Coturnix japonica: one gene and its partners. The protein of the gene in region 3 interacts with the protein of the main gene of each other region in a biochemical or structural test. Links are inferred from orthologs where the notes say so. Each region holds a gene or a part of one and is shown on either strand. Other genes may lie near its edges.

Region 1 (4,147 bases), on a different chromosome or scaffold from region 3:
ATGTCAAACTCAGCATTTAATTATATATGGAAGATTTCCTAACATACATGTATACGTCATGACACACAAAGCACTCAATGTGTTACAGAGATAGACTTTGGTGAAAATAAATTGCAAATACAGTGAGACGTTATATAAATCGAGAAAGCAAACCACCAGCCAATCTTATTATTTGATTAAGATTTCCATTGTTAAAGTATAACTTCTACTCCACTAAAAGCTTTATTCAATCCTTGTAGATGTTGGCACTGAAAGTAAATTTCTACCTATGGAGAGAGTGTTCAAACAGGCTTAATGATCTATTGATAAGAAATATGTATTCCAGGCTCACAATCACGAGACTTCAAAGTTCAACTGCTTTTTGTTACCCACTGAAATAAAGCTGAAAAAAATCTTTGAGCCTAAAAATTTTCAAAGCCTCATGTAAAGCTCAAGAGTTTGCTAAAACTGAAGTCTAAGACAGAGCAAAATAAAGCAGTAAAAGTTAAATGCATCAGTACACACAGATACTGTTTAAAGGAAGCACAATCCCTTTGGAATCTTCAAAGCCGGATCAGCACATTAACAACAAAATCCTATATGCAATGACAATAAAAAAAACGCATCTTCCCCCCATCCCCACCCCCACTCCCACCCCCACCCCCCTTCAAAAAAGGCACTGACATAAATTGGTTGTTGGTAAGCAGGATGAAGGTCAACTTTAGAATGCAGTGACAGCACCTCCTGCTATAGCTGACTATGGAAAATAAATAACTGCAGAAGCCCAAAGTTACAAGAGCACTAATGGCTAACAGAATCCTGCACACCAGTTACATTTTCACTCTGTAGGCAGTACACAAACGCACAGTCACAGAAGTGGTGGCACAGATACTCTGTGACAGAGTGTTAGCACCTAAGCGGTAAATGAAGCAAACTGAGTGATTTACCTAAGCCAAAGTTAAGTCAGAAATTGATGGGCCACTAGAAAACACTGGACCTTAGCATTCAAAACAGAAAACAAGACCTAAAATAAGAAATTCTTTTAAATGTGCTCTATTAGGCTCCACTGCATCCATGATAGACTTGCTTAGAGCAGCACTCTTTTTTTCTTCAGAAAATTCTCTATTGCACTGTCATAATTGTGTGACATTCCCCACTTCAGCAAACGTACTTTTCTGACTGTAAGTGCAACATAAACACACACTTCAGTGGCAAGATTCATAATACAGTCATCACATCTGTGCACAGAACTCACATTCATCCAGTCCCAGCTGATATGCCAAATTCTGCAGGCCACGAACCTTTTCCATCAGGTTGGCTGTAGTGAGGCTTCCCAGCTCTAAAAGGAAAAAGCGTGATTTTTAACACTGTAGCCCTCTAGTGGCAGCTTATGTTTATCGCTTCACAGAGCATTCAAGTTATACTTTGAACAGTATCGGTTTACAGTGTACAGCATATGTTCTTCAGCTCTCACAACTCATAATAACCAGCAAGACATTCTAACTGTTCCAAAGCAATCAAAAAAAATGAAGAAAAAATAAACAGCAGGGATTTACTGCTTCAAAAAGCAGTAACAAGGAGAACAACAGCATTTTTGTTATCAGTATATATTCTTGTGGGACCAACTAAAGATAGAGGCAATTGACAAGACAAAGACTCCTAAGCAGAATCATTCAACTGGAGATGTTCTGCAGGTTAAGATGGTCTGCAGATTAAGAGGAGCATCCCCCATCCCTTCCTTTCCACAAGGCTTCAGAAGGTCTCTGAGCTCATCTTTTTAGTAGGCACTGAATTCCCACCCGCAGACAGCCTCAGTGCCCATGGAGCCCATACTCACCCTTTAACATATCGATATCATCATTCTCCAGTTCAGCCATCCATTTGGGAGGCGAGCTTGTAATAGGCTGGTTTGGGGGGGAGGAAAAAGAAAAAGAACAAAAAGAAAGGAAGAAAAAAAAGCAAAACATTCTCAGAGAAGTACATTTTTAGCTGCATACAAAGCCTGATATAGCATTTACACACACAGAATTGTAGGGGTTGGAAGGGACCTCTAGAGATCATCGAGTCCAACCCCCCTGCCAAAGCAGGCTCCCTACACCATGTCACACAGGTAGGTGTCCAGGCGGGTCTTGAATATCTCCAAAGAAGGAGACTCCACCACCTCCCTGTGCAGCCTGTTCCAGTGCTCCGTCACCTATTTACAACCAGTTACACTGAAAGAATAAACGCGATGGCTCCAGGCACCCTACAGGGCTACTCTAATGCCTAGAAAGCTCTTCCTGGACGAGTTGGGTGTTACTGCAAGTCACAGCCAAAGCCAGCAGTAAGAGCAGCACCCCCAGGGCTTAGAGCAGCGCGTTCCTGCGCAGCTCGTCCCTCCCGCAGTGCCTGTATGACCCGCAGTGCCGTGGTGTTGGCATCTTACGCTTTTGAAGGAGGCGGCGAACTCGGCGACGCCGGGCACTGCAAGAGAGAACCGAACAGCGCCGGGTGAGCGCGGGGCCGGCCCGGCAGCCCCGCCATCACCCCAGCGACACGGGCCCGCCGCACTCACTCACACTGCTCAGGCCACAGGTCCGGAGAAGCCCGGTCGAGCTTCTCGAAGCTCAGCAGAGAGGCTTCCAGATCGGCACCTACAGCACAGGGAGTAGAACGGAGGTGAAGCGGCGCCCGCTCAGACCGTACCGCAGGGTGACGATGACCCCATTCGCGCGCCTTACCGTCACCGGGAGCCGCCATCTTGCCTGCGTCACGTGACCTAAACCCACAGCCCGCGGGAATCCACCCACGTGACAACAGAGCCCGAGCGCCTTAGTGCTCGTGGCCAATCGCTGCCCCGGATGGGGGGGCGGTGGCGGGAAAGGGGCGGGGCGACGCTCTCCCTGGCAGCGATTGGCTGGCGGCCGGCAAGGCCCCCTCGGGGGGGGCGTACAGCGGGCGGGGGGGGCGCTCGTCTGGCCAATGAGCGGGCGGGGGCGGGTCCCTGTGCTGGGGGCTCCGCTCGGGGTCCGAGCGCTGTGACCCTCGGCCGGGATGGCGGCGGTGGCTCGTGGCGCTTGGGGCGGGCGGCGCGTGGTGCTCAGGGTGAGGCGGCACACGGACACAGCGCTGCGGGAGGGGCCGCGGGTGGCACCTCGGGGGGCGGTGGGGAGGAGGTGGGGGGTGTGGAGGAGGAGGGGAGCACCGTGTAACCGGGCTGCTCTGTGTCCACATCCAGCTGCCGCGGACAGCCGGGGCTCCCTGGATCGCTTCGGCCGCCGTCTCCTCCTCCTCCGTGGTGAGTGGGGCCGGGCAGCTCTGTTTGCTGTTGGGCTGGAGGGGCCCGCGGCGGTGGCTCCGCCGGGCCGAGGAGCAGCTCGGATTTCCTGCTCTCCCTTCAGTTCTGAAGATGGTGTTATCCCGAGTGCAGCCCGCGGCACGGCTCGTCCCGCCGTAACGCCAGCCACATCAGCACTTGTCATGTCTTATTCTTATTTTAACCCACCGCCGCGTTCCTTCACAAGCCGAGGCCTCGCTTATCCATTACACTCTTCGCAGCCGTGACCTGTCCGGCTCAGCCCCATTTATTTTCCTGATTCGTCCTTTGATCCCTCTCCCACCATCACAGCAGCATTAGCATCCCTGCCCTCACCAGGTGAACTGCCCGGTGGATGAGGGAAAGGCTGTTGGCACAGTCTACCTAGACTTCAGCAAAGCCTTTGGCACTATATTCCAATCTCTTCACTTATATGGCCCCAGTTCTTCCTGCATGTTGCAGCACTAACTGCATCTTCTACCCCTGCTTTTTCTTCTCCATACTTACCTGAACTCCTTAACTAATGGGCAGAATTCTTACCAAGTGAATTATTAACTGGTTTCTTTTAAATATGTCTGTGAACTGCAGGGTTTTTATGACTTAGCAATTGTAGTGACTGAGTAGATTAAAATAGTTCTGAACATGATTCTATCAATGTGTATCTTCTGTAATAGTTTTTAGACGGGGTTTTGACAATTTTAGCCTAAATCAAGGGGAAAAAAATGATGGAGTACAGTGGGAAATAGCAAAAGCCTGCACATAACAGGGCACATTGTTATGTGTGCACTTTCAGGGAAAGATCACTCACTGTGCTGTCCTCCACAGCCAACAACTAAACTGTTCATCGATGGGAAGTTTGTCGAGTCCAAAACC
Region 2 (4,288 bases), on a different chromosome or scaffold from region 3:
GCCAACAACCCCTTCCACTTCAGCACGCTTCAGCACGAGTCCTAGGGCACTGACTTCTCCAGCAAGGCCAACTGCACCTTGCAAACCCCAACACACATCCCACAAATCCCTATATGAACCTGACTGGTCATCGACCTGGACATAAAGCACAAAACACAAAAGCACAATCCCGAAAAGCTGCAAAGTCCTAGTCACTTCAAGTCCAGTCCTTTCTCCCAGCTTCTCTCTTTTGATAAAGGTTTGATAGATGCTTCCTCCTCCTCAGCCCTTTTCCTGGCAGAATCCCGCAGCATCCCATAGGAGAAGCCCACTTAGCACTGCTGCCTTGCCATTCGGTTAGATGCTGTGACCGTCCTAGGCCGCCTGCTCAAGTAACATATTGAGCTCCCTTTGAGAGTAGTAAAACTGTGAGCATCTCTTTCTCTGGAGTTTTAGTGTACACTTTGCTAATAAAGATGTTTTTGGCACCTGATGTGAGTTATAGCTGTGTTTGTAAGGAGGATCACCACGGGAAGCACAGAGCAAGATGCTGACCTGTAAAGAGACCTGAAAGTCACTGAGAATCCTCATCCTCATCCCCATCCCCATCCCCATCCCCCCCAGGCAGGGCATAGATGTGCCTCTCCCCAGCTGATCTTTGGATGGAAACCCCCCCCATCCCGCAGCCCCCATCCCACAAAGCTACTATTTATATCCAAGCCGGCTCAGGTTTCAGCTCCTTGCAGCAGCTGGGACATCTCATCCCCCTTTCATGCCCCAGCCCAGATTGTCAGGAGGCCTCGGGGCTTTATGAGCAGCTGGGGGAGCGCCCATAATCCGAGCTGGGTCTGGGGTCTCCATGGGTCTTAATGGGAAGGGCTAGAGCCAGGCACCGGGCTTCAGCATGCCCAGGCGTTTCGTGAGAAGCAGTGCACAGCTCTGGGTACTACTCAACGCCGCTGCGTACAATTAGAAACGAAACCCCATAATTAAACGTCATGTAATTGTAGATAAGCTCATCTCCACCCGCTACTCGGAGAAGACGGGACTCGAACTCGCGACACAACTGAAAGCCCGGCTGGCTGCCCTTAACTGCCTCGGGTTCAGGTTGATTAGCACCGCTTCCATCCAATCGGATTTCAATATGGGGCGCAAGAACCCGCCTCCCGCCACTGCGACCCCCGGGAGCCAATCAGGTGTCGAGAAGGAGCGCGGCCTCCCTTCTCAGGCGTGTTCAAACTCAACGGTAGGTTATACAGGCAAGGAGGCGGGCTCTCTTTGTTATTGATGGTCAAAGTAACCAATACAAGCCTGAATTCGGCCAAACAGACAGGAGTAGCACCCAATAGAACCAATAGAAGTGTTAATTGACAATCAACACAGCCAACCAGCACGCAGAGGGCGGGGCTAATCGCGTGGCTTCCGCTCCCGTTGTGTGAGGGCCGAATCGGGAACGGCCTTCGCGCTTCTCTCGCGGTGTCCGGGCTCTGGAGCCGGGCCTGGGGGCGCGGCCTGCCCCGGTCTCTCTCCGGTCCCCGCTCCTTGGCCTTCCCCTCGGCTGGGCCCAGCGCTCCAAGCTCAGTCCAGGCCCCATCTCAGCTGAGCCCGCTGCTTGCTCCCCTCAGGCCCAGCGGGGCCCCCTCGGCCGAGCCATGTCGCTGCACGGCAAAAGGAAGGAGATCTACAAATACGAGGCGCCATGGACCGTGTACGCCATGAACTGGAGCGTGAGGCCGGACAAGAGGTTCCGTCTGGCGTTGGGCAGCTTCGTAGAGGAGTATAACAACAAGGTGGGCAGGGGGCGAGCCGGGGATGTGCCCCTCCGTAACAGGGGGTTGGGGGGCTGCAGGGAGCTGAGCTACGGGCTCTGTATTGGAGGCCGAGGGTTGGGGTTGGTGGTGCTGCTGCTCCTCAGGCAGGAGCTTTGACTTGAATGTGTGAGGTTGTTATTCAGCGTGACAGGAAGCTCACGGCCTGGGCTCGAGTTTGTACATACATAAGCTGTATGGGACTCTGTTAGTAATAGTGTGCTCTTGTCATGATGCTGTGTTTGTAAACTGCTCTCACCGGCTCCTTTGCTTATCTCTGATGACGAGGTTGTGTCTTTAGTCTTTCCTTCTATATCTAAGCAGGGAGGCTTACGCCCTTCAGACACCTGAGCCATCCTTCCTCAGCAACCTTTAATACACTCATCTCATGCGATGAACACGAATGGCAGAGAGAGATGAGGAAACAGACATAGCTGTAGAGCATCCTGGAGTCTGTGTGCAGCTAACAGTGCTGCCAAAGTAGTTCTGTGCATTTATATCATGTGTGCTTTGAAGCTTTGTCAGGCTGCTTAATGGAGAAAATTGTTTCAGAAGTTGGTGTTTTGGATTGGGCTTTGAGGTGAGGTGATGGTAAGGCAAGACTGGCATCTCTTACAGCAGCTAAACGAGTGCCCTTGCTGCAGCCCTGGATGGGATGCTCCTATGTGAGCCAATGACCTGGAAGGGAACTTACTCCCAGAAGAGGAGTAAACTCTTTGAAAGGGCTGACAATAGCAGGACACGGGGAAATGGTTTTAAGTTAAAAGAAGGAAGATTTAGGTTGGATGTTAGGGGGAAGTTCTTTACTAGGAGAGTGGTTCGGCCCTGGAACAGGCTGCCCAGGGAGGTTGTGGATGCCCCGTCCTTGGAGGTGTTCAAGACCAGGTTGGACGGGGCCATGGGCAACCTGATCTAGTAAAGGTGTACGTATGGTGGCCCTGCTAGGCAGGGGGGTTGGAACTACATGATCCTTGAGGTTCCTTCCAACCCGGATCATTCTGTGATTCTGTGAATTGCTGGTGAGCATTATGTGGTTCTGGGAATGCTGCTTTCCAGGCAGGTCTGAGCTTGCTGACTTTTCATTTGTTTAAAGACTAACTCCATCATGTTTTCTGTAGGTTGCGCTCTGAGAAGCAAAAGTAACAACCTTCCAAACGTGTTTTTTTGTTTAGGAGTGGTGGAACTTGTTAATTAGGGGTATGTTTCTGTTGCGTTTACATCCTTCTGTTTGGATCATTCCCTGGGGGTTGCTCCCAATTACAATGTGATCAGGTCTGCTTTTCATTTCAGGCTTCAAGTATATAAAGGCAGTTGAGTCAGCAACTCTTTCTATTTAAGAAAACAACAGCAACAACTCCCAGACTGAAAACTTTACACTCCTAGTTGCTGCAAACAGGAATTGTGCGGTACTGCATTAACTCCAGCTGTTTGTGAATAACCCCCTGAGCTTCTTTTGGTCTCTGTGCTTCGGGAATGGCTTGTTGTGTTGACTTCAGGTCCATATAAGCACCAAATGGTATGAGATTTAATTAGGGTATAAAGCAAGAAAGTAATTGTATGAGAATGGGGATTCCAGCCTGGATGCTGCTGCTACAAAAGTGAAGATATGTTCTTTACTTCTATTTTATACTGGCAACTTCTGACATCAAAATACACACAGTAGCACCAACTGGAAGGAAAATGGAAGTGATAATGGAAGCTCTCTTCCACTTTAACTCTCTCTTTGTGTTTTGAAGGCTTTTGATGGCTCCAAATGTCATTTCTGTTCTGTCCTTGCAGTGTTTTGTTCTAAGGAACTGGCTTCTTTCCTTCCCCCTGGAAGACCAGTTCAGAGTAGCAATTCTAGGTTTCTTAACATCTAACCAAATAAGTGGCTGTATCTCTTCCTCATTACCCTCCCATGTGCATTTTTAAAATGGTTCTTAGTGCATTAAATCTTTTCTAATTGCTGCAGCAGAAGCTCCTGGTTATTTTTCTGTTCCTGTAGTAATTACCAGAGCTCGAAATACTTAAGGTTTCATACATAAGATGGCTGTTTACACCTCTGTTTTGGGTGGATTCAGCTCAGTCAGCTGCCAAGCCATGACTTATTGCTGCCCCCAGCTCCCAGACTCTTGGAACCTCTGTCAGCTCTCCCACTAACAAGCTGTATGACATACAAGAAAGCTGATTGCTGAGATCTCTTTGAACCCCAAAGGAGTTTTGTTTCAGCTCCTACACCTGTGCTCATCAAATCACTGGTACAGAAAGAGAGATGACTTTGCTCCAGGGGAAAGGACTAAAATTATTCAGGCTAGGCTTTCCTGAGCTTCTTGAATCAGCAAACTGCTGTCAGGCTTCAGAATGCCTCATGGATCACAGGCGTAATAGCAGGGAGCTGAGGTGTTTGTACGTTCTGCTGTTAATGCTGCTTTGCAGGCTTTGTGGATCAGTAATGATCTGTGGAAAACAAGGAGAGGTTGATTTCAGGATCTGTCTGTAAGGCAGAACTCAAATCTGCT
Region 3 (3,646 bases):
CTACAATCTGTATGATTTATTGCGGAACACCAACTTCAGAGGTGTCTCACTGAATCTGACAAGAAAATTTGCACAGCAAATGTGCACTGCACTGCTTTTTCTGGCGACTCCTGAACTTAGTATCATTCACTGTGACCTAAAACCTGAGAATATCCTGCTCTGTAACCCCAAACGAAGCGCCATCAAGATTGTTGATTTTGGCAGTTCTTGTCAACTTGGGCAGAGGGTAAGTATTGGTAAAAATGATTTGCTGATTGCGCTGTTACCGGATACATACAATAAACATGATATTTGAAAGTTATAGTACTTGATAGCTAATTCAAACTTTAGCAGTGATGACTTAAATTAATTATTGATTTTATTAAATTAAATGAATTTAATTTAATCTAATTAATTATTGAATAAGGTGTTGGATATTGGCAGGCATTAGGTGCTTTAGATAGCAATTTAAATGCCATAGTAGATAAACACTCCATCTTCTTTTTCTCTTTGGTAATACTTTTATAATGCAGAATGCATCAGCACTTTATTGTAGAACTCTGCAGAGCTCTCTGCTCTTAAATATGTTTTTTTATTATCTTCTTACTCCATAATGGTGGTATAAATATGAGTAAAGACATGTGAAAAGGTTTTCTAGGGCAAAGGGGCACATTGTTTTATTTAGATTAGGATAGAACTATAATATTAATTATGAAAAAAAATAAAATAAAAATTGTAGTTGTGTCCTGTTGTTCATATGCTTTGATGATGAGCTGTTGAAAATCTTTCCGGTATAGTTCTTTATTTACTTTAAGATATGTTAAAATATATACAACAGCCATTAAGTCCATAAACAATTCTTCTTGGCTGCCAAAGATGCTTTTTATTTAGGGGGGTAAAGGGGGTGGGGGGTGGGGAGATGGGGTGGAGGGAAGAAGGATAACATTGCTCAGATATTTAATTTTTACTGTGAGTTCACTAAAAACTTCATCAGAACGCACTGTTCAGTGTGCAAGGTATAGTCTAGTTCAGAAGAGAGTACAGACTCTTCTGGTTAAGTGAATCCTATCTGGCCTGAGTGACCACTTCTATTTGGGATACCTTAGTATTAGTCATTGGCATTGAAAACAAAGTGTTAGCTAGAGAGGTAGGGAAAACTTCTGTAGACAGAAGTCTGGCTTCCAAATCTTTTTGAAAAGAAGTTTTTGGTCTAGGATTAAGATAGAATTTTCTGTCTTGTGAAATGAGCAGGATAGCGGAGGGTGTAGCTTCTTGTTCCATGTGGAATCACAGTAATTTCATCTGATTTCATCATATCAAAACTGTGACTTTTGATTTTTATTTTTTCTTTTAAACCACAAGTTTTGTCAGAAATGCTGTGTAATTCTCATGTGGCTCATAGAATAGCTTTTCTCTTGGTGTAAGCAGACCAAAGTTCTGTTGTATAGTTAGCTGTAATTGCATGAGATTACCTTTGTTAACCATAAAGTATAAAATGTTGTCATCATGAGTGAATCTGCCCTTTTTTTTTGTTTAATAACCAGAAGCTAGTGTTTTCTTAAGAATTATCATCTAAATATTTTTATAAATTTATAGTGTAGTTTTAGCATTACTGAAATTTTGTCTTTGCTTTCCCTACTGTGAAAGTGTATTCTATGATAATTCCATTTTGTAATACAGAATAGTGCTCTTTGAATGCTATGTACTATTTTAAATTGTTTTATTTCAGATATACCAGTATATCCAGAGTCGTTTCTATCGATCACCAGAGGTGCTACTGGGAATGCCTTATGATCTTGCAATTGATATGTGGTCCCTTGGGTGTATTTTAGTTGAGATGCACACTGGAGAGCCTCTTTTCAGTGGTGCAAATGAGGTATGAAGCTATTATACAGTACATGTAATTTGATTTTTTTGGTTCTTTCTCACTGTGATATTAATCTGTCTTATTTTTATGCATAAATTAGGAAACACTAATAATTCTAAGATCAGAAAACATCAATGATAGCAATGCCTTTTAGAACTCTAACATATAATATATTCTGTTTCACGGTACCCTTCCCCTTTGTTTAGTTAATATTGTATTTTTCTTAAACTTGCAATTAGTTCACAACTTAATGTGTATGGGTAGTTAACATTTGCTTTTCACATGATTATATAGAGTATTGGACTCTTACTGCATTGTTCAGCTCTATGTCTCATGTTATTCATGAATATTCTTCATGTGGAACAGGTGGATCAAATGAATAAAATAGTGGAAGTTCTGGGGATTCCGCCTGCCCATATCCTTGACCAAGCACCAAAAGCAAGAAAGTTCTTTGAGAAGTTGCCAGATGGCACTTGGAACTTGAAGAAGACCAAAGATGGAAAAAGGGTAAGTTACGTAATCAATATGAAAATACAGAAAATACATTAAAAAGATAAAAATAAAAATAATAATAATAAAAAAGAAGTGGTGATATGTTACGTTGTTTTACATTATCTTACCAAAAGCATGGCTGTATTGTTTATTATCATTGTTCGGTGTCATAAGACAGGGCAATTAAGTGACAATTTACATAGTATTTAATAGTTTCTTACTTTGATCTGGCTGACTTATTTTATGACAAAATTAAACCATGAATTGAAGTGGCTTAATATATGTGACTTGGTTTTCCAACAGGAATACAAACCACCTGGAACTCGTAAACTTCACAATATACTAGGAGTTGAAACAGGAGGACCAGGTGGACGTCGTGCTGGGGAATCGGGTCATACTGTAGCTGACTACTTGAAGTTCAAAGACCTCATCTTAAGGATGCTTGATTATGACCCTAAGACACGAATTCAACCTTATTATGCCCTACAGCATAGTTTCTTTAAGAAAACAGCAGACGAAGGTACCAACACAAGCAACAGTGTGTCTACGAGTCCTGCTATGGAGCAGTCGCAGTCTTCAGGAACCACCTCCAGTACATCTTCAAGCTCAGGTGAGGATTTCCCCTTAATGGAACAGAAAATTATATTTCTGAATCACATCAAAGGAGACTTTCACAGGTAAAAGTCATATCACTGTCAGTCACAGTCATTGAAAGCATTTATATATTATCTAGAACAGGAAAGTGCTCTAACAAAAAAAAAAAAAAAAATCAGCAGATTTACACAACTGTGAGTGATTATCATAGGTCCTGTGTTCGAATCAGTTCAAATCTTTATGCTGTTGTTGTCTGCGACCTTCTGTAAATTTTTTCTCTTGTTGTGTTGCTATGATTTTTATAGGTGGATCTTCTGGAACAAGCAACAGTGGAAGGGCACGGTCAGACCCCACACACCAGCATCGACATAGTGGTGGACACTTCACTGCTGCTGTTCAAGCTATGGACTGTGAAACACACAGCCCACAGGTATGCTGAAGTAGAGCTTTTGTCTGTTTGATGTATATATTTTTTCTGAGAGTGTTGAATCCCTGAAACTAATTATATTAGGTTTACATGACAGGGATTCATGTCATGAGTGGAGGGGGGATGCACAGGTGTCGTCTGGGAAAAATCTAGGAGCTGACCCAAGTTAGATAAGAGCAAGCTCCATCTGGCTTAAAAAAGGGACCAGCTGTTGGCCAGAACTGAGCCAAGAAGTGACACTGGTTGCACCTCTGTGGTAGCAGATTCAAGAAAGGGGAAAAAAAAGA

Evidence for each region.
Region 1: of the proteins of DYRK1A (region 3) and LIN52, one has a biochemical effect on the other in vitro, tested with the Homo sapiens proteins (3 studies listed by BioGRID). The link is inferred for Coturnix japonica from reciprocal best matches to the Homo sapiens genes DYRK1A and LIN52.
Region 2: the proteins of DYRK1A (region 3) and DCAF7 form a complex in vitro, tested with the Homo sapiens proteins (2 studies listed by BioGRID). The link is inferred for Coturnix japonica from reciprocal best matches to the Homo sapiens genes DYRK1A and DCAF7.

Annotation. Positions count from the first base shown.
Region 1 is NC_029520.1:34,236,917-34,241,063, reverse strand, and holds the start of LIN52 (protein lin-52 homolog), read right to left. Parts: upstream 2,811-4,147; 5' UTR 2,719-2,810; coding exon 2,700-2,718; intron 2,613-2,699; coding exon 2,538-2,612; intron 2,443-2,537; coding exon 2,405-2,442; intron 1,884-2,404; coding exon 1,817-1,883; intron 1,319-1,816; coding exon 1,235-1,318; intron 1-1,234. Other genes in the region: ALDH6A1 (methylmalonate-semialdehyde dehydrogenase [acylating], mitochondrial), read left to right, coding at 3,013-3,063, 3,197-3,256, 4,100-4,147.
Region 2 is NC_029542.1:2,158,034-2,162,321, forward strand, and holds the start of DCAF7 (DDB1- and CUL4-associated factor 7), read left to right. Parts: upstream 1-1,390; 5' UTR 1,391-1,631; coding exon 1,632-1,769; intron 1,770-4,288. UniProt on the Homo sapiens protein: Involved in craniofacial development. Acts upstream of the EDN1 pathway and is required for formation of the upper jaw equivalent, the palatoquadrate. The activity required for EDN1 pathway function differs between the first and second arches.
Region 3 is NC_029516.1:96,481,887-96,485,532, forward strand, and holds part of DYRK1A (dual specificity tyrosine-phosphorylation-regulated kinase 1A), read left to right. Parts: coding exon 1-226; intron 227-1,708; coding exon 1,709-1,855; intron 1,856-2,212; coding exon 2,213-2,353; intron 2,354-2,641; coding exon 2,642-2,948; intron 2,949-3,237; coding exon 3,238-3,362; intron 3,363-3,646. UniProt on the Homo sapiens protein: Dual-specificity kinase which possesses both serine/threonine and tyrosine kinase activities. Exhibits a substrate preference for proline at position P+1 and arginine at position P-3.